Linked DNA regions of Pelodiscus sinensis. The protein of the gene in region 2 purifies or fractionates together with the protein of the main gene of each other region. This does not show direct contact. Links are inferred from orthologs where the notes say so. Each region holds a gene or a part of one and is shown on either strand. Other genes may lie near its edges.

The links. The genes of interacting proteins can lie anywhere in the genome.
Region 1: the proteins of PARD3 (region 2) and PARD6A purify together in Homo sapiens (co-immunoprecipitation; 7 studies listed by BioGRID and IntAct, with this or other methods). This does not show direct contact. The link is inferred for Pelodiscus sinensis from reciprocal best matches to the Homo sapiens genes PARD3 and PARD6A.
Region 3: the proteins of PARD3 (region 2) and PARD6B purify together in Homo sapiens (affinity purification with mass spectrometry; 5 studies listed by BioGRID and IntAct, counting the BioPlex papers as one, with this or other methods). This does not show direct contact. The link is inferred for Pelodiscus sinensis from reciprocal best matches to the Homo sapiens genes PARD3 and PARD6B.

The regions. Positions count from the first base shown.
Region 1 is NC_134722.1:46,603,860-46,611,591, forward strand, and holds the start of PARD6A (partitioning defective 6 homolog alpha), read left to right. Parts: upstream 1-4,357; 5' UTR 4,358-4,473; coding exon 4,474-4,536; intron 4,537-6,041; coding exon 6,042-6,264; intron 6,265-7,732. UniProt on the Homo sapiens protein: Adapter protein involved in asymmetrical cell division and cell polarization processes. Probably involved in the formation of epithelial tight junctions.
Region 2 is NC_134712.1:231,794,902-231,802,973, reverse strand, and holds the start of PARD3 (partitioning defective 3 homolog), read left to right. Parts: upstream 1-4,773; 5' UTR 4,774-5,173; coding exon 5,174-5,293; intron 5,294-8,072. UniProt on the Homo sapiens protein: Adapter protein involved in asymmetrical cell division and cell polarization processes. Seems to play a central role in the formation of epithelial tight junctions. Targets the phosphatase PTEN to cell junctions.
Region 3 is NC_134728.1:18,806,882-18,815,078, reverse strand, and holds the start of PARD6B (partitioning defective 6 homolog beta), read left to right. Parts: upstream 1-4,822; 5' UTR 4,823-5,126; coding exon 5,127-5,192; intron 5,193-8,197. UniProt on the Homo sapiens protein: Adapter protein involved in asymmetrical cell division and cell polarization processes. Probably involved in formation of epithelial tight junctions.

The DNA.
Region 1 (7,732 bases), on a different chromosome or scaffold from region 2:
CCTTATTCCTTAAGCTGGAGCAGCCCATCAGCTGCAGGCTGCTGGCCCCCGCTCACTGTGTCCCTTCTTCTCTGGGGCCGGGTGCTGCCTGTCTCGCTGCTAGCCTGGTTCCCACTGCTGGGCAGCCTGCCCCCCACGGTCCCCAGCTTGTCAGGTGGGGCTGAGCCAGCTCTGTGTTGGGCGGCACAGACTGCCATAATCTGTCAAGCGCCGCCCCGGCCGGGACGAAGTGAGGCCTCTGGCCTGCTGGGGCGTAGCCAGGCAGCTCGCATTGGCTTCAACGGATAAAACCCCGCCCGCCGCTCGCTGGTGCTGCCAAGAGAACTGGTCAGAAATTATGCAGTGCTCCAGCAGATATGGGGGAATGCGCAAAGCAGTAAGAACAGAAGCAAAAGGTTCTAACTGGAAAGAGCATTAGTGTGACCAGCTTCATTACTTACTGATCCTCACCGCTCTGATAGTTTCATACCAAAGATTGTTTAAAACAAACATGTCAGACTCCCTGACTTATCCGCTGCTTTTTCTTCCTTTTGATATTCTAAGCCCTGGCCCTCTTCCCCTTCTTTACTTAGTCAGACGGGCTACAATAGCTGCCTGAGGACACGTGGATGGAAAGGAGTCAGAGAAGTCATACCCACCGTCCTCCACCCCCTTCCCACAATAAGAATGGAGAAAGGTTCTCATCCCCCCCCCTTCCTCCTCTCCCACTTTTTAGGGAAGAGGATGGGGGTTGGCAATTGAGAAGTCTCACAGGAGGGAAAGGTTACGGAGGATTCTGAGTAACGATGAGACAGATCAGTACTGGGGTAGTGCTACGGGGGAGCTCTCTGCCTCTGGGCTACGCCTAGACTGGCATGATTTTCCGGAAATGCTTTTAATGGAAAAGGTTTCCGTTAAAAGCATTTTCGGAAAAATCGCGTCTAGATTGGCACGGACGCTTTTCCACAAAAGCACTTTTTGCAGAAAAGCGTCCGTGCCAATCTAGACGCGCTTTTCTGCAAAAAAGCCCCAATCGCCATTTTTGCAATCGGGGCTTTTTTGCGGAAAACGAATCTGAGCTGTCTACACTGGCCCTTTTGCGCAAAATGGGAGCAGCATAGTATTTCCGCAAGAAGCACTGACAATCTTACATGAGATCATCAGTACTTTTGCGGAAATTCAAGGTGCCAGTGTAGACAGCTGGCAAGTTTTTCTGGCAAAGCGGCTGATTTTCCGAAAAAACTGGCCAGTCTAGACACAGCTCTGGTGTTTAAAGAGCTGCTACCCTACAGATCAATACAACCCTCCTAGCTGTTCTTTTATTTGTCCCTGCTGGGAGGGAAAGTCCAAGAACCACTGAGGCGGGGTTAGACGGTGGGGGGGAGGGCTCTCTTAGCAGGAAGTCGCACTTTACACAGTCACCATGTGCTCTCGCATCTCCTTTTGCCCACCAACATAATGCAGCCACCCCTGGGGTACCCCAAGGCCACAGCTAACATGCACACACCGACGGCACACAAGAGCCGAGGCCAGGAGACCCTGTGTCCAGGCGCAGCTGTGTGGGGATGGGGAGCTAAGGGCCAATGCGCACTGCTGGAGACAGGGCGAACCGGGCTTTCAAGTCGCTTGATGCGGCAGCCGTCCCTGCCGTGTGCATTCACAGCAGAGCCACCGTCTGTCCCCACGCCCTGGGGCCGAGGTGTGTACCCCCCCATGCACAGCAGCAGCTGCCCCAGTCTGCTGCAGCTGCCAGGACTGGGTGGGGGGGATCCCCCCAGGGTGTTCTAGTCTGAGCCCTGCTGCGACTGGCAGCTGGAGAGAGGTGATAAAGTTCTCTGGAGGCTGCCCCGCGCAGTCACTTAGCAGCCGGGGCCCAGCACTGAGCTATCTGCCTCTGTGGTCTGGGCCACACAGGGCTGAGCCCTCTGGCCGTGGGGAACAAGGGCTCGGCACGGTGCAGCACGCCCCTGCCTTTCTGGGCCAGCTCCCTGAGGTGCAAGCTCCCTGCCCTGGGAGCCTCCAGCCTCAGCTCCCCTCCAGCCTAGCTCCCTTCCCCCCTCGCTGCAGGGAGGGGGAGGTTCTATGGAGCTGGCACCTTCCAGCCATGGCTGAGATGGTTACTGTGGCAGCTGGGCTCCCCCCCAGATACAATCGCAGGAAGGCAGAGCTGGTGAGGGGGGAGGAGAGGCCACAAGACATGTCTCCCCCCTCCAGCCACATGTGGGGGAAGTGTGGGGCAGAGTGAGAGCGGAGACTTGAAGGCTCTGTCCCTCATTGACGCTGAGGGCGGCTCAGGTCCCCAGCTCTGCTCTGGGATGTGGATCTCCAGTCCCTCCCGCCACAGGCAGGCTCCTGCCAGCTGCTGTCTGCTCCCCAGAGGTGGCTGCATGGCGGGAGCGGGCGAGATGATTCCCGTGTCCCCGGTGCTCTAGGCAGCACTTTATACCGCGTGGCAGGTGCCCTGCAATTGCCCAGCCCTTGTCCCCAAACACTCCCCCTCTCCCTTGCGGGGTCACAAGAGACTTGATTTCTTTTGTGCTGCCCGCAAGTGGTCCAGAGGGGCGAGGCGGGTGCCCTGGCTACAGGGATTGCAGTGGCACAGTGGGGCCCGCTCTGCCGGCCCTGGCTGCACCACACACCTGAAGGGCAACTGCCTGTAGGAGCCATTGGGGGAAGATGGGAGCTGGGAGCTGGGGGAGGGGCAGTGGGAGCTTGCGGCACCAGGAAAGGCTGTTCCAGCAGCCAGGAGGCCGTGGAGGCTCTGGGGGACAGATTCACCTCCCCTTCAGCATCTCCTGGGGCGGAGAACACGACCTGACTCTTCAGTGTTTGCCCCAATTAGCCCCCTACCAAAGGGCACCACAAATCCCTGGATTATCCAGCTCCACCAAACCTAAACCCAGCCCCTGCAGGCTCCACGGCCTCCCAAAGCATCTCTGGCTCCCAGCCTGGGGCTTGACTCTGGTTGCAGCCGAACGGTCCAGAAGGAACGGCTGTCAGGAGACAGAAAGCAGGTCACTAGACGATGCCTTTGGTCTGCGGGTCGGGACTGAGGGGCATCAGCAGATCTAGGTGCATGTTCAGCTCACCCAGGCCCTGCTGCCCTGTGCCCGGCCCAGCCACCTCTGTGTGTTCCTGGCTCCCTGCCGTGTGAAACCTGCTCTCCTGCTTCTCGGTGTCAGGCCCAAGGGCAGAGACAGGGAGTCACCGTCCATCATCCTGTGCCAGGGAGGTTGAGAGGGCTCTGAGCCCATTTGCACAAGGCCACACAGCAGCACAGACCAGTGCCCCACAGAAATGGGGCTGGAGCGGCAGCCTGCTCAGGCGGGACCGTGGAAGCCCCAACCCTCCATAATCCCCAGTCCCATACTCTGGGGCAAATGGATCCAGCAGCGTTTCGCCGCTTGCACCAGACCCCCGGCCAGGCACGGGGGGGGGGGGCTCCATTTCTAGGATGGAATGGGGAGCAGCAATCAGGCAGCGCCAAGCACCCGGGGCTCAACTGGAGACAGGGGGCCAGATCCCAGCTGGGTCAATGGGCCCTGGGTCCATGGGTGGCCATGGGGTGGGGCCAAATCCCCACAAGCAGGAAGGCTGCTGGACCCGCCGGCCATGGGGCTAAATCAAAGGGGAGGATGGCAGGACATTGATCCGTCCCGGCCCCCAGGCTCTGTCTGGCCAGAAGGTTCCACTCAGGCTCCGGGGCGGAGCCAGCGAAGCCCAACCTGAAACTTTCCCCTGCTGGGAGGGACGGAGCCGCCCGAGTCGCCTCTGGAGCTTGGTTTGCACCTGTCAGGCCCTAGCCCAGGCGGAGCCCAGCTACAGCTCCACCTGCTAAATCCAGCGGCTGTGCTCCTGCAGCCCCTGGGGTGTGACCCCCCCCATGGCCTGCCCCTACCCCCTGGGGTGTGACCCCCCCCCATGGCCTGCCCCTACCCCCTGGGGTGTGACCCCCCTCATGGCCTGCCCCTACCCCCTGGGGTGTGACCCCCCCATGGCCTGCCCCTACCCCCTGGGGTGTGACCCCCCCATGGCCTGCCCCTGCCCCCTGGGGTGTGACCCCCCCATGGCCTGCCCCTGCCCCCTGGGGTGTGACCCCCCCCATGGCCTGCCCCTACCCCCTGGGGTGTGACCCCCCCATGGCCTGCCCCTACCCCCTGGGGTGTGACCCCCCCCATGGCCTGCCCCTACCCCCTGGGGTGTGACCCCCCCCAATGGCCTGGCCCTGCCCTGCCCCTGCCCCCGATACACCTTGGAGCGCTCCCACCTCCGTTACCTAGGCGACGTTGTCAGCAACCTTCCATCCTGGCGCAGGGGACGTTCTGAGCCCGCCCCCTGGCCCGGCCTCCGCCAATCCCGCGGACGCCCCTAACCTGCTCGGGGGTGACGTCATGGCCGGTGAAACCCCCCGTGGCCGCAGGAGCCGCAGCCAGTGCGGGGCGGGCAGGCGGCGGGAGGAGCAGCCGGGCCCGGCCCGGCCCAGCCCGGCCCAGCATGGCCAAGCACCACCGCACCCCGGCGCGCAGCCCGGAGCCCGTCATCGAGGTCAAGAGCAAGGTGCGTCCGGCCGGCGGCCCCCCCCGCGGCCCCAGGTGCAGGCGGGGGGGGCCCGGTGCAGGGGGGGGGGGGCCCGGTGCAGGGAGGGGGGGCCCGGTGCAGGCGGGGGGGGGCCCGGTGCAGGGAGGGGCCCCAGGTGCAGGCGGGGGGGGCCCGGTGCAGGGAGGGGCCCCAGGTGCAGGCGGGGGGGGCCCAGGTGCAGGCGCGGGGGGGGGGGCCGGGGCCAGCCGGGCGCAGGGTCCAGCGGGGCATCCAGCGGAGCTGCAGCCCGGGGAGGTGGGGGGGCCCCGCGCCCCCGCCGGAGACGCGGGACGAGGCCGCCTGCCCGGTGCGGCGCCAAGCCCCCGCCGGAGCCGGCAGGTTATGCAACGATGCAGCCTGACAGCTCCGGTCCCCGCGTCCCGGCCGCAAACTTCGGCTCCCTGGCCGGGCCTGGCGGGCTCCTGGCATCCACCTGGCCGCTGTGCCCGCCGGAGCGTGGCTTGGGGCGGCAGGACCCTGCCTCGCCCCTGCCGGCTCCGCTTCCCTTTGTCTCTGGGCGGGGGGTGATTTCCCCCCGGGGAGCAGTAAGGGGGGGCGGCTGCTGGGCCGGGGACCCGTCTGGGTTGTCAGAGGAGAGCCGCTCCCCCAGGCCGCTCCCCCTGCACCGGGCCGGGCTAAGTGCCCGGGGTTCTGGCTGCCACGGCTGTGCCCACCTGCCCAGGGTTCCCCGCCTGCGCTGGGTAGACCTCAGTGTTGCCTCTGGCCCCGGGGCTCCTCCAGGCGGCAGCGTGGGCCCGAGGGCAGGACTCTGCAGACAGCCCTGCCGCTCAGCGGCTGTCCGGGCCGCTGCTCCTCGTGGAAAGGTGGCCGTGGACTTGCCTCCTGGCATCTGCATGTGCCAGGCTTACGGTTGGTCAGGGGGGTCTGGGTAAAGCCGGGGGGGCGCTGCCCCCACTGTTTATGCATCAGCACTGTGTGGTGGGGAGCAGGGCTGCAGGGAGGGAGGGGATGTAGTTTGTATCCCCACGTCTGTTTGCTCTGCCTTGCTGAGTAATTTTGGGCAAGGACATACACGGTGCCTAGACATGGCCGAGTGCGGGGGCAGTGCCCCCGGCATGAACTGGGCGCGTGTCCGCTCTGAGGCACCCAGTCCAGCCCCCCGATCTGCAGGGCCAGCTGGTCCCAGTGGCACCTCTCTTCCCACGGCTCTGCCACGCGAGGTCCAGGCAGATCCTTGGCCTCTAGACCCCAGTGCAGCCGTGAATTGGTGTGGGGAGGGAAGGAGCCAGGCGTTAGGTTTTTGGGGTGAAGCGCAGGGCTCCTAGGGGTGGGCCATGTGGCGTCTGTCTTCAGAGCCCCCAACTGATCCCTGTGGCCTGTACATGAAGCTTCCTCGTGGAGCCTCAGGAAGTGGCTAGGGAACGGGGGGACCCGGCTGGCCGCTCCTTGCTGAGTCTGGGGCCCCTGGCTCCCCCGCCAGCCAGTTGCTCTCACGTGGCCCTGACCCCGCCTCTTGCCCCCAGTTTGACGCCGAGTTCCGCCGCTTTGCCATGAAGCGCTCCAGCGCGGGCGGCTTCCAGGAGTTCTACCGGCTGATCCAGACAGTCCATCAGATCCCTTGCGTGGACGTGCTGCTGGGGTACACGGACGTTCACGGGGACTTGCTGCCCATCAACAACGACGACAACTACCACAAGGCCCTCTCCTCGGCCAACCCGCTGCTCCGCATCATCATCCAGAAGAGGGGTAAGTCCGGGCCGCCGAGGCCTCGGGTTCCTTGCCTGGCTGCGAGCTTCCGTCGAGTGGCAAAGGAAATGGGTTCACTTGCTCTGCCAGAGCACTCGATAGCAGCCCCGCTGCTGCCTGTTTGGTGAGAACTTTGCCGTGTATCCGTGCCCGGGCATTTCAGCGGAATGCTGCCGCCTCCGGCCCACCACCCGTGTTGGGATCTCTTGCTGCATGGGAAATCCCAGCCAGCTGGCCCTGTGTTCCACAGGTGAATCGTATCCTACTGGCTCTGATGGGAGCTGTTAGCTGGGACCGTTCCTTTGCTTGGATGGCTGGGCTTTTCCCTTGTCTTACATATAGGAGGGCCAGCCTAGAGTGGACCTCTTAAAAAAAATTAAGAGGGAGAATTTTCTGGATGCTCCACAACTCGGTTTATTCCTTGCGCCTGCCACTGCATTGCTGAAAGCCTGGCTCTGTGGGAAAGTTTGTGTAGGCCCCACTAAAATGTCAGTTTGTAGCCCTGTCCCCAGTGACGGCAGTAACTGTGTTCTATAAGCAGTGTTCTCGCTAATCTGTTCCATCCACTTTTTTTCATCCATGTGCAGAATAAATTTTATGTGCACTGAAGCATGTGTGGCTGTGCACCACCAGTAGAAACAAAAAAAGGGAGCTGTGCTAATCAGCTGGACAGCGTTTGAATTTCTCCAGAGCGAACGCACAAGTGCCCACTTTACAGGGAACACTGCCTGTAGGGAGTGTTTCAGGAACTACCCTGACCTCTGAGGCTGGGCTGTGAACCGGCCGCTTTGGCTCACGGGTTCTGCAAGCCAAAGTCGCTTACCCAGAGAGCACCCGTAATACCGGAGAGTTAAAATCCTGCAGCCTTAACACTCTGCTGTCCTGCATGGGGAATTCAATCCCAGAACACGTTGTTCCTGGAAAGCAGCTGGTCTCTTCCACAGGGACTAACTCGTCTCTCCCCCCTCACCGTTCTTGTTGTGATGTGATGGGCGGCAGTAGCAGTGCTCCGCCCCAGAGATGGGCACATGTTCCCCACGTAGGAACGGTCCATTTGTTTGTTCATTCGCAGGTCATAAGAGCAAAACTTGAAATATACACGCAAACCTATGGGGAACCTGCTGCCTGCCCAGAACGTCTCTCCTCTGCAAGGGTCTTGGAGTGTTTCCAGTGGTCTCCTGCTAGCAGGCACTGGGGAGGCTGGGGTCGGTGCTGGAATGCGGCTTCCTCTGGGGTGGAGCAAGCGCAGCTTACTGGTACAAAGCAGCGGAGGCGATCCTATCCAGTCGCCCCTGCCGGGAGGATTGTGATACTTAAGCGCCAGCTAGATTTAGTCCTTGACAAATGCCGTGATTCTAGCTACCGGGCTAGTGGGTCTTTACAGATCACGTGCAGCCGGCAGCACAGGGCTCTGTAGGGCTGCGTTGGTTGGAGTAGTGCTCTCCGCGAGCGATGCTTATGGAACGGC
Region 2 (8,072 bases):
CTGCAGTATAGACTAGGGATGTTAAATATCGGTTAATTGAAGAGTCAAGTAACCTCGTGAATTCTTATTGGTTAGTCAACTACTCTATAGTACCCGGGGGCAGGGTTGGCAGCCAGTGCACTCCGGCCCCACTACCGAGGAGCACCCTGCCATTCCTTGCTGCTGCCTCTGTATCATCTTCCCTCTCTTTCCCAGTGCAGATAGGCAGAAGGAGCAGGGAGCTCTGAGCCTTGGTGGTGCGCCCAGCCTGATTGAAAGGCTTGATGGATCAGATCTGGATCCCCATTCTGTCTGACGTGGCACAGAGACTTGATACTGCTCCCAAGTGAGTGACTTCAGTGCTGGGCTCTAGGGTACCGAGCTGGGTCTTTCTCAATCTCTGCTATTGAAGCTGCTCCCCTTTGTATAATATTTATTAGAGAAGAAACTGCAGTCTGGGTTTCCCAGTGGGACATAGCATCTCTCTCTCTCTCTCTTTAGTTTAATTCAAGGAATATTTAGAAAGTGCCTACAAAGCAGAACAGCTTCAACAGGTTTTTCATGAAAAAGGGCTGACTAACTTAGACACCTACTTCCAGAGGGTGTTCATGCCTGTGAATCCCAACTGGAGGGAGGCACCTCTCTGCAGCCCAGAGCTAGGCACTTAACACCATTGGCTGTGTGGGGGAAGGTGGTTTTCCTTATCCTCAGCATTTCCTGCTTAGGTGGCTCTGTGCTCAGTGTGCTGGCTTTTGTGAATTCCATTCGCAGGTGCCTAATTCTTCCTATGCATTATGATAGCATTGTACTGGCTGCCTGGGTACCACATGCAGGGCCATGGATTCCACTGTTCTTTATTACCATAGTGCTTAGGAGCCCTAGTCTTGGACCAGGACTCCATTGTGGTAGGTGTTATCCATACACAGAATAAAAACACTGCTCCAAAGGGCTTGCAATCCAGGCAGCCTAAACGTTAGGTGTTATACTTAACATATTAAGTCCCCAGTGGGTGAGACTTGGCTCCGGAGTCTCTAAGTCCCTTTTGAAAGTAGGATTTGGTTTCTATGTCACTTAAGGTACAAATTTCAAAAGCACCTAAGTCCACAAAGTGCTGGACCTGGTGTGTGCAGGAAATGGAAGGAAGCCAAGCTGCCCCATCCCCCTTCCTGACCACAGGCTCCTGGGCCATGGCTGTAGCAATGCTCCACTGGGATGGCTGCAGGACGCCCCTGCAGGAAAGTGCCCACTGTGTAGGAAACAGATGGCCTTGCTCAAAACAAATTGCCATAGTCTGAACTGAGACCTTCAGTGTCAGCTCAGAGTTTAGGGCTAGGCTTCATGCACAGTGTCTCCTGGGATGAGTGCTCCTGTAACTTTTCTTCACAGCTGGGCCAGCTGTGAGTGTGGCACATCCACCACCTCCCACACCATCTTCTCAGCTCTGTGGGATCCACTGCAAAAAGTGCACCAGGGAAGACCTGCTGCAGGACCAGATAGCCTGCCTCCAGTCCCTCATATGGGGGTTCAATGAGGAGTGCTGGGAGCAGACTGCCAACTGTGAGGCAAGCCGGGTTGACCAGAAGCAGCTGATGCACCAGTATGAGGCCATGTCTTCCTCCATGACCTCTGTCATGAAGCGCATGACTGTGCATGGAGTGGGTCACCAGTGAGCTCCTTGCTCCCCTCTCCACCCAACTCTCCTGCCCCCATCCCCGCCTCTTGTCTTCTCCTCCTAGCCCTCCGAAGGGCCACTGAACACATGGTGATGGGACTTCTTGGGCAGCGCAAGAGAGACAGCAGTCCCAACACCATCCCTGAGCCACCTTTAGCAGGAATCACTCCCTACCAAGCAGACCAATATTGTCTCGTTCCTTATACTCCCATATTTGTCTATATCAAACTGCTTGGGGAAGGGATTAGCTTCTGGTTCTGAGTTTGTACAGCTCTTCCCACAATGGCTTCTTGATCCAAGACTAGGGCTCCTAGACACTAGGACAGAGATGGTCAATCTAGGCTAGCAAGTGGGCCACATAAATGGCCCTCTTTTATCTGAGTGGGCTGCAAGAATGTTGTAAGCAAGCTACCCTCCTGGAAACAGGGTAGTTTTGCTCACTGCACTTGCATGCCTAGAATTTGCAAAAGCTTTCGTGGGCAAAGACCCACTTCGTCAGATGCATGTAGTGGAAATTTCCAGAGGCAGGTATAAATATGCAGGCCAGAATCAGGCTGGAGATGACGATATGGATCCAATCACCTGCCTGATTCTGGCCTGCATATTTATACCTGACTCTGGAAATTTCCACTATATGCATCTGATAAAGTGGGTCTTTGCCCACAAAAGCTTATGCTCCTACACTTCAGTTAGTCTATAAGGTGCTACAGGAGTCCTCACCGCTTTTGCAGATTCAGACTAACACAGCTACCCCTCTGATACTAGAATTTGCAGTGTCCCAAATGAACCATAGCAGTGCTTTGATTGGATATAGAGAGTGCATGACTCTCACTGTTAATGTTGTGTACAGTCAGTGGGCACCTCACTTCATGTGCCCTTGCTTTATATGTCATTTTAGTAATGTTACTTTAGTAAAACTGGCAGGAAAAAATGATGTGGATGGAACCCAGCAAAATCTGACAACCCTGTGCATGGGTAATGGTAAAAAAAAAATGTTTTGCAGGACACATACACAACCCTGATGGGCCACATGCAGTCCTAAGGCCATCACTGCACTAAGGTAAGAGACTTAATAATCACTATCAGGTCACCTACATTTTATGGAAAATTTTTGGTGACAAATTCTTTTTAATATGTGGTTACAATCAAATAAGTTCTGGCTTGTTTCCCTCTCCTCTCAAAGCAGAAGAGTCTAATTACACCGAGGTTAATTTTAAGCAATGAATCTTTGTGAATAGTAGTACAAAAGATTGCAAGTAACTCCTCTTTCTTCACTCCTCTTTAATCTAAACCCAGTTAAGTAGAACTGCGCATAGTTTCCTAATGCATAGGGATGAAATCCTGGTTCCATTGAAGTAAATGATGAAATTCCCATTGACTTCAATGGGTCAGGATTACACCCTAGATGTCTGTAGAATAACTAACAGAGTCCTTTCAATATTGCACATCTCAAGAGTTCTGATTGTGCACTACTTAATCACATATAACTCTGTTGTCTGTATAAGGTTTGGGATATCTAAACTTACTAGAACTATAGTCCCCAGTCTTGGAAGAGATGACTAAACCATACTGTCTTCTGAGATTAACTGAGTTTCGCATCATGTTACTATGTGAAACCTCCAGAAAACATCTTAAAACCAAGATCCTGTTTGTTCTTTGTAGACATAAAGTATAATTTTACTGTTTTTTAAAAGCACTGTGTGGTTCCATGTTTAAGTAAAACAAATGTGTGTTTTTTCTGATTGCCTGTCCTGAAAATTTAGCCCTCATTCAGCAAATCAATTTGGATGCTTTCTGTCTTATGCGCCACCATCCAGTATAAAGATTCTGCAAGCGAAGTAGAACAATTACTGACAAATGTGCAAGTTCATTTTCTTCTAATTCTGCTACCAGTGACATTTATAACACCCATTCAATTCAGTGGGGCTGTAACTGCAATTCTACTGATGTTATAAACGCTAGGATATACTCCAGTTTACTTGTCATACTGCATTGACTCTGCTCAGCTAACAAGAATAAAATGATCAAGGCTATCCTTTTGAAGAACATCTAGATTTGAGGCAGCAAAGTGTGTATGGTGACACTGTGAAAACACCAGGTAGGAGACTGGTTCATTTCTCCATGTACAGCTGTAAAAGGGGATATGTTTCTAACCAACTAAGTTCCTTGGGGTTCAGGATCCTCTATTTCTCAGTCACCATGATTGAGAACAGCCTTAGGGTGCTGGAAGACTCTGCTCAGTCAACAGAAAAGTATGGTTGATGAGCCACAAGGGGGGAATTTGTGGGGATGTAGAATCCAGAAAAGACCCCTGGGGCCAGAAAAAGAGAATTTCTATCACTGGTTCTTTCCATCCCCACACCTCTAGGATCCAAGGTAGTGGACACCCATTAAAATCAGTAGGAGTCTGCCCACACTGATCCAGTGTTTGTGTGGCTTTGCAGTAAGTAGATGCTCCTGTGCATTATTCTTTCTGCTTACCAGCCTGCTGCACTTGTTTCCTCCTGGTATAGTCCAAGTCCTCTGCAGAGAGTTGCCAATGCCCCTGCCAGCAGATAACACCCACAGAGATGCAGGAAGTAGCCAGATACACTCAGGTCAGGTGTCCCAGCTTTTCTTTCAAGGACAAGGGCTGGGAAATTGTGTAAAATTAAAGAGTGAGATTCTGCTACACTCAGGTGCCTCCAGGAGCCAGGCCCTGGGCAGAGGCCAGTAGCGTGGGGCAGCACGCCCCTACCTGGACAAAAGAAGCCCTGGACATTTTAAAGCACCCTTTGGAAAATGCTAGGGGCGCCTGCGGGCGGTGGGGGGTTTACAACCTTCCCCCGCCAAGGGCAAGGATGGGCGATCAAAGTGGGCCCCTTTACCGCTAGGCTGGGCTTCCTCTCTCCCGATGGCCGGGGGCAGCAGTACCCCTTCCCCGGGGCGGGCTGGGAGGTCTGGGCTACGCAGGGTCCCCGACACGGCTGCGGGGCCGTCCGCTCTGCTTCCTTCAGAGCCCATAGGCGAGCGCAGTGTAAACAGCAGCACATGGGCCCCCTCCCTTCCCCTGGGCCTCCTTCCCGGGCTCGGCCCCACCACCCTCCCTCCGCCCCTGGGCATGTGGCAGGAGGCGCAGCCCCACACCCGCTGGCTGGGCTGGGGGAGGGCCGGGGCCCAGAGGCAGAGCGAGCGGCAATGCCCTGCGCGGCCATAGCGGGGAGACAGCGCGGCCCTTCCCCCGCCGCCCGGGCGTGAGCAGCCGCCGCCGCCGCGCTGCGCGCAGGAGGAGACGCGGAACAGGTGGCCAGAGGCAGCAGCGAGCGCTGGCACCGCCCCGGCGGCGGCCGAGCATGTGAGCGGGAAGCCCGCAGCCCGGGACTCGGCCGGTCCGCTGCAGCAGCTGCCGCCTTCCCTCGGCGCGGGCTCCTGCCCGGGGCTGGCGGCTGGCCCGGGGCGCAGAGCCAGGCGCGCCCGGAGCTGGGGGCCGAGCGCGGGCGGGGAGCGTGTGGGGGCCGCAGGCAGCCGGGCGGCCGGGGCAGGATGAAAGTCACCGTGTGCTTCGGGCGGACCCGGGTGGTCGTGCCCTGCGGGGACGGCAACATGAAAGTTTTCAGCCTCATCCAGCAAGCGGTGACCAGGTACAAGAAGGCGATCGCCAAGGTGAGGGTGCGCGCCCGGGGCAGCGAGCGGGGGACGGCGCAGGAAGAGGGCGCCTGGGATCAATATGGCGCTTCCTGGAAAGGGGGAGGGAGGGGATGAAAGGGGAAAAGTGCAGGCTGCTCGGCTGGGGAGAGACGTGGGCACGGGCTGGAGGGGCCCGGCCTCCGCAGCCCCCCTCCCCGAGGGCGAGAGTTGGTGGGTGCGAGATCCAGAGAAGGAAGAAGCGCGGGGAGTTTGGGCCAGAGGCGCTGCTGCTCCTGGGTGCAGCGATCTAGTTTTCCTGACAGTGAAGTTTAAAGCGCTGCTGGGCTGCCCGGCCCGGCCCTGGGGGCAGGGAGCGTGTGTCTGTGTGAAAGGAGTTGCTAACTGAACATGGCTTCTTTGTAACCCAGCTGGGGAGCTGAGATTTACCCTTTAGCGAGATACAGTCGCAGACGTGTGTTTTGGGGCCTGAGCTCTTTGTTACTATTTTGTAACGAGCAAACGAGTCTCTTGTAGGTGTGATTGTAAAAGGGCTGGGGGATCTCTCCCTCTAGCTCTTTCTCTCTCTGTGGTGTTCCTATTAGTTGCGTACACCCCAAGTGCCCTGGGTCCATACAAACTGGGGTATTGGCTGTCACTTGGAGGGTTACATCTTGTTACTTTAATTGTCGCGGAAAAGACTGTGTAACAGCGTGCTATAGCTTTTGTTACATCTTCAAAGCTTGGTGTTTGAAACAGATAAAGATATAAATCCCCAAAAGTAGGTCTCCTTTACAATGATTTCTCTTTGCTGGGCAGTAGTTACTGCAAAGAATTCAAATCCAGCCCCAGGCTTCCCAGCTGCTCCAGGCCCAGGAAGAAAAAAAACAGTGAAATGTGGGGAGTTGACAAAACAGCAGGCATTTAATGTTTATATCTGAAAAAGTTATATGTCTCTTGGACTGCCAGAAAAGGGGAAAGGTACTACAGAGAGGATTGTCTGGAGAATTTTTTTTTTTAAAGGATGGGTTAAAAGAGTGTTCTGTTGGATTGTTTGCTAGGACAATCACTTCATGACAAGTCAGTGCACTCTTCTCTGTGTCAGAAATTCTCATGTCAACACAGAGAATCATTTACTTTTCCAGTTACTCTGAAAGAAGTTTACAGTGTAGGGAGCCTTTGTGCTGGAAATATGTTAATTGCATTTATCTTTGGAAACGTAATTGATTTCTTTCTTTTTGGTGATGTTAATTATAATTACAGCTTGTCTGAATAATAATAGAGAGGTAGCTGTGTTAGTCTGGTCTTGCTAAAACAAAAGAAAAAAAACATGTAGCACTTTAAAGACTAACAAGATAGTTTAATACATGATGAGCTTTCGTGGGCCAGACCCACTTTCTCAGATCATATTCTGGAAGAGAATTGGCATGACCATGGTATATATGGTAATGCCAGTTCTCTTCCAGAATATGATCTGAGGAAGTGAGTCTGGCCCACGAAAGCTCGTGACATATTAAACCAACTTGTTAGTCATTAAAGTGCTACATAGTTTTTCCTTTTGTTTTAACTTGTCTGAACGCTTTCTGCGTAGAGTTGGTGCATGACTACATGTACATAGTTATTTACAAATAATTGTATCTTCCATTCTGTAGTCACTTAGAATATTTTATTTTTTTGCTGCAAAACATGTTTTTAAATTTCTGACTAACATTTGCCAGGCCAATCTGAAAAAGACCAGTAGATTAATGAAATTCCATCTGGTGCTTCCTACTCCCCCAGCTTTGCTCAAGTAGTTGGGTATGACTTATTTTTTTACCTTTATGATTTTTGTTTTGTTTCAGTTGAGAATTTTTTACTTCAGGACTCTCTGAAATTGCACCAAGCAATTAGAAGTTTGAAGTCTGCTTGCCTTAGCATTAGTAGGTTGGAAATACTGTGTCAGGTTGTGAGTGGGGTGGTGTTTTTTTCCAATGAGAACCTGTGGCTGGTGTCCAGGGAAAGGGAAACCAAAGTTTCCATTTTTTTGTTTCCTTTTTTTCCAGAATTTTTTGAGACAATCACTACATCTTAGTATATTGTGTAACATCACACAACATTGACTAGTGAAATGTTTCACTGAAAGAAGTCAAGATGCCAACTGCAGTTATTTTGACAGCTTCATTAAAGTGCATAACATTTCATATGCACAGAAATGACCATGTCCCAAAGTACTCTTACAACTGAGAGTGCTACTTACTTAAACGGGACTATACTTGACAGTAAATATTTGTATGATTGGTCCCTAAATCTTACAATATTAATATAATCTAGTGATGATAAATCTATGGTTTCCAGGCTGTAGTCTCTGAATATCTGTCTCGTCATAGTGCACTGGATCACATTCCTGTTTCCAGCTGTTAAATTGCATTAAAGACAGCTACAAACACATTCCTAATATATTTCCATGTGAACAAATTGCAGTATGTGTAACAGTGAAGTTATGTGAGAATGAGTGGAGAGGATGGTTGCTTGTATGCTTGCAAATGGCGGGGAGGGGTCCATGACAAAAGCTCTGTTATGTAGCCACATTATGAAAAAAAAAATTAGAAACCTCTGAAATGTGATATATTGGCAGGTGAACGTCGTAAAGATAATTTTCAAGATTACAGTTTTGCTTGCTCCTAGCCTTCAGAACTTTTGATCTTGGGTTTTATAAAGGACCCGTTGGCTTTAAATTTCATTTTTATTTTGTGTACTGTATTTTGCATGGATTAAGCTTTGTTGCAGTTGGGGTTAGAATGGTGTTAATTACAATGAGAAGGCTTCTACTATATGCAAA
Region 3 (8,197 bases), on a different chromosome or scaffold from region 2:
ACATTATTTAAAAAGTCGTAACTCCTAGGGTGAGAGCGCTTTATTATGGAGGAATACTTGATCGTACTAGAGATCTGAGCTTGCTGGTAAATGTGGATAAGAGGGAGTTAAAAAACAACAGAAAATTAACAATCCTTTCTTCCGGCTGTAAACTGGTTCTGAACATTCCTTTCATTGGGGGCCGTGAATAGTTTGAGTAAGTCTGAATCACAGGTTTTATGGAACTTGTGACTAAAATAGCTCTGTAATCTTGTGCTATGCCTGGCATGGAAGTCCTGCCCCCTCTCCTTACCTTTATCTCAAATCAAACTGTTCTGTCACATTCCTTCCTTGCACAACATCAGCTCCTTGTGATGCAAGCTACCTAGTGATTAATACCCTTTTATGAGGTTGGTTTCAATGATCTGAGATTAAATCACCCTCGCTGTCTCAGAAAGCGTGAAGCCACACCCCACTGTGAGGAACTCTAATAACTCCAGGAATGCAAGAGAAGAAAAAAATATTCTTAAAAGAGACCAAATAAATACATAGCAATAACATCATCTGCATGGATGTGCTGGGAGCTTCCTGGTGGCTTTTTCACATCAGAAAAAGGCCAGTTAGTTCAATTGCTCTGCAAATCCTTGGGAAGGCTGGGTTCTTCTCTGGTAAGCCACCTCCATTCTCCTCTTCATGGTCTCTCAAGGTATGTCTACACTACCACCCTAGTTCGAACTAGGGTGGTTAATGTAGTCAACCGAAGTTGCAAATGCGGCACAGAGTAGGTAGTTCGAATTAGGCTTTCTAATTCAAAATACCGTTACTACTCGTGGAAAGCCTAATTTGAACTACCTACTCCGTGCCGCGTGTAGCCGCGGGCACAGAGTCCGAACTACCGGGGATTTAAAATGGCGGCGCCCGGCAAGATGCAAATGAAGCCCGGGTGAAGCAAGTCACCAGGTCCTGATGAAATGCATCCCAGGATACTCAAGGAGCTGATAGAGGAGGTATCTGAGCCTTTAGCTATGATTTTTGAAAAATCATGGCAGACAGGGGAGATTCCAGAAGACTGGAAAAGGGCAAATATTGTGCCCATCTATAAAAAGGGGAATAAGAACAACCCAGGAAACTACAGACCGGTCAGTTTAACGTCTGTCCCAGGGAAGATAATGGAGCAGGTAATTAAGGAAATCCTATGCAAACACTTGGAAGGTAATAAAGTGATAGGGAATAGCCAGCATGGGTTTGTGAAGAACAAGTCATGCCAAACTAATCTGATAGCTTTCTTTGATAGGATAACGAGCCTTGTGGATAAGGGAGAAGCGGTGGATGTCATATACCTAGACTTTAGTAAGGCATTTGATACGGTCTCGCGTGATATTCTTATTGATAAACTAGGCAAATATAACTTAGATAGGGCCACGATAAGGTGGGTGCATAATTGGCTGGATAACCGTAGTCAGAGAGTTGTTGTTAACGGTTCTAAATCCTGCTGGAAAGGGATAACAAGTGGAGTTCCTCAAGGGTCTGTTTTGGGACCCGTACTGTTCAATATCTTCATCAATGATGTAGATATTGGGATAGAGAGTACGCTTATTAAGTTTGCAGATGATACCAAACTGGGTGGGGTTGCGACTTCTTTGGAGGATAGGGACATAATTCAAAATGACCTTAGCAAGTTAGAGAAATGGTCAGAGGTAAACAGGATGAGGTTTAATAAAGAGAAATGCAAAGTGCTCCACTTAGGAAGGAACAATCAGTTCCATACATACAAGATGGGAAGCGACTGTCTAGGAAGGAGCATGGCAGAAAGGGATCTAGGGGTCATAGTGGACCACAAGTTGAATATGAGTCAACAGTGTGATGCTGTTGCCAAAAAAGCAAATATGATTCTAGGTTGTATCAACAGGTGTGTTGTAAGCAAAACTCGTGAAGTCATTCTGCCGCTCTACTCTGCACTAGTTAGGCCTCAGCTGGAGTACTTTGTCCAGTTCTGGGCGCCACATTTCAAGAAAGATGTGGAGAAATTGGAAAGGGTACAGAGAAGAGCGACAAAAATGATTAAAGGTTTAGAGAACATGACCTATGAAGCCAGGCTTCATGAACTGGGCTTGTTTAGTTTGGAAAAAAGAAGATTAAGGGGGGACATGATAGCGGCTTTCAAATATCTAAAAGGGTGTCACAAGGAGGAAGGAGAAAATGTGTTCCTCTTGGTTACTGAGGTCAGGACAAGGAGTAATGGGCTTAACGTGCAGCAGGGGAGGTTTAGATTGGACATTAGGAAAAAATTCCTAACTGTCAGGGTGGTCAAATATTGGAATAAATTGCCAGGGGAGGTGGTGGAATGTCCCTCTCTGGAGATATTTAAGAACAGGTTAGATAGACATCTGTCAGGGATGGTGTAGATGGAGCTTGGTCCTGCCTTGAGGGCAGGGGGCTGGACTCGATGACCTCTCGAGGTCCCTTCCAGTCCTATTATTCTATGATTCTATGATATTTAAATCCCGGGGTTCATTTGCAACTTCGGTTGACTACATTAGCCACCATAGTTCGAACTAGGGTGGTAGTGTAGACGTACCCTCAGAGCTGAGCAAGTTACTTGAAGAAAATGGTAGGCATGGAAAGAAGAAAACAGGTGGAGCTGCTGCTCTTTAGTTTTTTAGTAATAGAAAAACAATAGAATTAGAGGCCTGATTCCACTCTTGCTCACATAGTCATAATTCCACTGACTTCTATTTGCATCAGTGTGAGGGAAGAATCAGGTTCTAGATGTAGTTTAGGAGTAGCATGTCATCCAAGCATTCCTTGGCCTTTTGCTATTGTAAAGAAACCATAGATGAAAGAAGGCATAAGGCTTGAACTGGACACCTACTTATTTACAGACACTAGTCAAACACTAGACAATAATCTCTGCATTATTCAGAACCAGCATGAAAGCTGCAGTTTCTTTGTCTTGGGTAGGGCTGGGCCTTATACTCGAATCTACATGCAAAATTGTACTGGTTTAACCAAATATATGATTTTGAACTGATTTAGTTAAACTGACACAACTTTATGTATGGATGTTCATTTATTAGTTGAATCCTGATTTATATCTAAATATAAAATACAAATCAGGAGTAAACCAATATATAGCCAATACACTTATAAAATTCATTCACTTTTCAGAGATATTACTGGTTTTAGTGGAATTCTCCGTTTTAAGTATAGAGAATATTGTTGGATCTGGTAATATCTCTAAAATAAAACACTTTTGAAGTATGCCAGTGTATTGCACCAGTTTAACTTTTAAACCAATTTAAATCAGACTTGTGTAACTATTTTGGGTATGCAAAACGTTACAGATTGCAGACCCTGAGATATTGGAGAGATGGATCAGTCTGTTAGTTGGTTCCTTTTCCTTTTTTGGTCCTGCAGCTGACATCAATTCCAAGCATGTAGCTCTGTTCTAAAAAATGGCTATAATCTAGTGTCATGCTTCAGGGTTTCATTGGTTGCCAGAAGGGGATACTGAAGGTTTTTTCCTTCCCATGTACAACTGTAATCTGGGACAAGATATTGGTTGATTGGGTGGCTCAGGCCAAGTCTATACTAGGGGAGAAAGTTAACCTAAGGTATACAACTCCAGCTATGAGAATGTAGCGGGAGTCAATATATCTAAGGTCAAATTTCTGTGGTGTCCCCACTGCAGGAGGTTGAAGGGAGAAACTCTCCTGCTGATTTCCCTTACAGCTTGTGATCCGCTGGAGTTCCGGGATCAACAGGGAAGCTATCAGCTGTCAATTTAGCAGGTTCTTACTAGACCCACTAAATTAAACCTGGAAAGATTGATCTCCAGAGTGTTGATCTCAGGGTAAGTGGAAACAAGTCCTCAGTGATCTGAGATGGTACCAATAATTGTGTTTAGATGCCTGATTGGTGTCTTGTTCACATTTTCAGGCGCTAAGTGATCCTTAGAACTGGGGTTTGGAAAGAATTTACCTGCCAAGTCAGATTGGCAGAGACCTTGGGAGTTTTTCAACTTCCTCAATAGCATTGGGCCTGGATCACTTCCTAGGATCACCTGGGCATGTGCCACCCAATCAATTCCCTCAATTGAAGGGACTTGGGGCATTAGCAGAAGCCTGTTCTCTGCCCGTGAAACAAGACAGTCTATTTTCTGAGGACTGAAATGCTTTTTAATGGAAATCATTGGACTCAAAAGAGCGATTTGAGTGAAAACGGATGGCTCGTGAAGTGCAGGACAGACTAGATAATTTAGTGGTCCTTTCTAAACTTCACAAAACCACGTGCAGGAATCCCTAAAAGTAAAGAGCCTTGGAAAATTGATTATCTTTATTTGTAGATAAAACCAGTTGCACCCATACTCCCTCACAACACCCTGAGGTGTATTCTGTCTCCATTCACACATTCCCAGCATCGCAGGTGTACTTTGACCCTCTGTAATCCCACCATAGATGATGCACTCGTCTGTGGTGCTCATAATCCCGGAATTGTGAGGACGAGTTCTTTAATCCCACTATTGGGCGGTGCCTTGTATCTACCATAGTCCCAGCACCCGGGGTTACTGTGCCCCCCTGCAATGCCAGCACTGGGGGTTACTGGGCCTCTGCAATGCCACGATTGGCTGCGTGCTGTGCCCCTCCCCCGCAGTTCTGAGCGTGCGTATTTATCTACAATAACCTCTGCCCAGTGACTGACACCTCCCGCCCCACTCCCATGCATAGCATTCACAGCCACGCATGCGCCTTCCACTTAGGAACGGGGAGAGTGTTAGGGGAGAAATGCGTTGGACGCATGCGCACTGGCTGCAGGTGCGCCTAGGGCTTTCTTTCCTTCTCCCTCGGCGGGCGACGGGTACGCACGCGCGCTCGTGGCAGGTGCACCGAAACTCCTCCGCCCTGCTGTGAGTGCCCGGCGCGCATGCGCTGTCTCTCCTCCCCCCCCCATACCCAATCCCTTCACGGAGCGGCAGGTGTCAGGCGCAGCTAGGCGCTCCCGGGGCGGCTCCTCCTTCTGGGTGTGTGAGGAGGCGGCTTCGCGGCGGTGGCGGCAGGTTGTGTCTGGGCGCAGAGCTGCCCGGCTTCTCCCCCCACAGCGCGCCCGGGGACACACGGGGCGAAGGCGACTCCCGGCCGTGTGGCGGCATGAACCGGACCTACCGCAGCGCGGGGGGCAGCCGGGCCCTCGGCACCATGGAGGTGAAGAGCAAGGTGGGTCGCGGCCGCAGAGGGCGGAGCGAGCCTTTTGGAAAGGGGGGGGGGGCAGGGCTCGCTCCGGTGGGTCTGGGTGGGCTCGCTCCGCGAGCGGCTGCCGGGGGCAGAGCGAGCTGCGGCGGGGGTGGAGGGGAAGAAGCGGGGCCGCGATCCGCGAGGCGCCGCCGGGGGCAGAGCGAGCTTGAAGCGGGGGGAGAGGGGCTGGATCCGTGACTCCTTGAGAGGCCGCTGGAGGCAGGGCGAGCCTCATTGGAGGTGGGGGCCCAGCAGGAGGGGAGCACTGAGGCATCTGAACCCCCTGGCGGAACACATCCAGGGCTGCCTGTGAGTTGCCCGGCACGGGGCCAGGAGTGGTTCTGCATTGTAGGGTGAGGGCGAACTGGGAGAGCTGCTGACTCACCTGCAGAAGGTAGCAGTAAGAGGGAGATTCCTGGGGCTGGGGGAGTGTGTCTACAAGGGAGATCCGGGTTGCCTAAGAGTAGAGGTGTTTTCAGGAGATCCAGAGCGGTTACCTTTACTCTGTCCTTCATGTCTTGTGCCACTGCCTTGATTATTATTCTAACAATTCTCACCATAGTGTTGAAGCTAGTAATAATTAATGCTTGACATCCTCCCTATAGTCTGTGTCCTCTCAGTATTAGCCTCCTTGTCAGATTGCATTTCATCATATTTTCCCCCATGTCTCCAACAATTGTGGTTGATTGTTCGCTGCAAAACTTGATATTCTTTAACCAAAGTTACAGCATGACTTTACTGATTGGGCGGGCACACTGCTTTCCATCAAGTTACTACACTGAAGTGTAAAACAAGACACAAAGTTCGCCCTGAAATTGACTATGGGCTAACAGAATACACAGGAAAACAAATGCAGACAATATAGGAATATTACTAGGAAAAAAGGGGTGCCTCAAAAAAATCAGTTTAGCTCTATCATGATTTGAAACATCCCTAACATTATGCTTTGACGACACTAGGGATGTAAAATCTCAGTTAATCTGTTGACCAGTTAAATGCTATGGGAGCAGGTGGGGGGAGGTATGGTCTGCAGGGGGTGAGCTGGAGCACCCCCTGCCTGGAACAGGCCCAGCAGGGCTGGAACAGTCCCTTGCCTGTGGGGGGTTATTCCAGCCCCACATTTAACCATTCACATCTCTGGACTAGTCTAGGATAAAAGTGTCTTTTTAGAAATATGTTAATTAAAATATTTTAATGATTTAAAACTCTAGTGTGAACAGAACAAAAATAATTTGCCCTGCTAAAGTGGTTTTTTTGGGGAAAAAAAGTCTTTTATCCTAGAATAGAGAATATTTTGATGTAATACAGTGGCTCTGGAATCTTGTTAGCTGGTCATATAACCCACAATTGTCAAGGTGTTGAACTGTGTCTAAACTGGGTGTTAAATGAGTGTTTCATATCATTTTAGTTAATTTGAATTAGAGAATGTGGATGAGGCAGTATCTTTTGGTGAGAGTCAAGCTTACACAGAGCTCTTCTATGACAGAAGTTGGTTCAGTAATAAATACTGTCTCATGCACCTTGTGTCTCTAATATCCTCTGACTAACATGACTATAATGCTGCACACATAAATTGAATTAGGCAACTTGGGAATTGTCTACAGAAGGATAGCTGGAAAAAGTAAATCCAAACTAAGGTGTGAATTTGAAGTTAAGACATCTAATCTCTGCGTAAGTCTTCTAGTACGTACTACGTGGGAAATTCCTTGGATGTTGCATATTTCAAATTCTTGGGACAACAGTTAATGAGCAGGTTTTATTTTTTTTAAAGCTTATGGCCAAATATATTAGTCATTAAGATGCCACAGGACTCCTTGTTTTTGCTGAAACAGACTAAAGAGGCTACCCCTCAGATAATAAACACAGTGCTCCTGACTGAAGGGAGTTCCTCCTGCAGGAATTCATTTACTTTTGTTATACACAGGTGTGACTGAAATCAGAATGAGTCATTTATTCTACCTTATTGTTCACTAATGTTAGTGTAGCTATAGTATCTATAGAACAGGGTTATTTGCAGAGACAGCTAACTAATCAATTAATGAGAAGGCAGATGGTGACTTGATGGCTATTGATGACTTATTACACCTACAAATTGTATACCCAGCCAGACTATGAAAAAACAGGGTAGTTTTATTGTTTGCTTTTTCTCCCCTGTGTCCCTTGAAGCTACCACCTTATTTGTTTCATGTAAGGTATTTAAATACATTAGCTATCACATTTTAAAAACATTTTTTCCTAATTATAGACTTTTTGGGGGGCAGAGACTGTATTCACTCATTACCTTTAAACAGGGCTTACCACAATGGGGCATGTTGCTGCTTTTGGTCTCTAGTACTGTTGTAATACAAATAGTATAATGTAGGAGTGAAAGATCTTGAAGATTGGGGAACTGAAGAAAGTACAGTCTGCTTTGGAAGAGGACTAGTGCAAAGTGTATTAGTGAATTGTTAAAACACAATTGTAGTGCTCACACAAGAGGAATGGAGCAATCTGGTACAGGTAGGTTCACATCCCAACTTGCCACAAACTAAATCCTCATGTAGACAGGTTCTTTGAGTTGTGTATATATACCAACATTTCCACTATCAGTAGAACTGAATGGTGGAGCATTTTGTCAGTAGTGCTGAACTGGCAGTGAAATAAAAACCTGAATCTTGTTAGTGTAAATAGGGCGGCTATGAAGCTGTTGAGGAATGGGTTTGTATCCCCTCTTTGCCTCTCCATTTTAGGCAGGAGCAGAAGTGACAGAAAATTAGGGTGGGAGGAGATATGAATTCTTCAGTTTCTCCCAACAAACCTTGAAAGTAATTAGCTGCATGCTGGCACTTCACCAAAATAGATATGTTGCTGCAATAATTAACTCTGATTATTAAAGCAGAACCATCAAGTTAATGTGGATATTTTTTCATTCTGTGCTCTGGCTTTAGTTTTAACCTTTTGGGGGCAGTTAATACATCTGAGGCATAGTTTCAGGGTTACAACAGAAT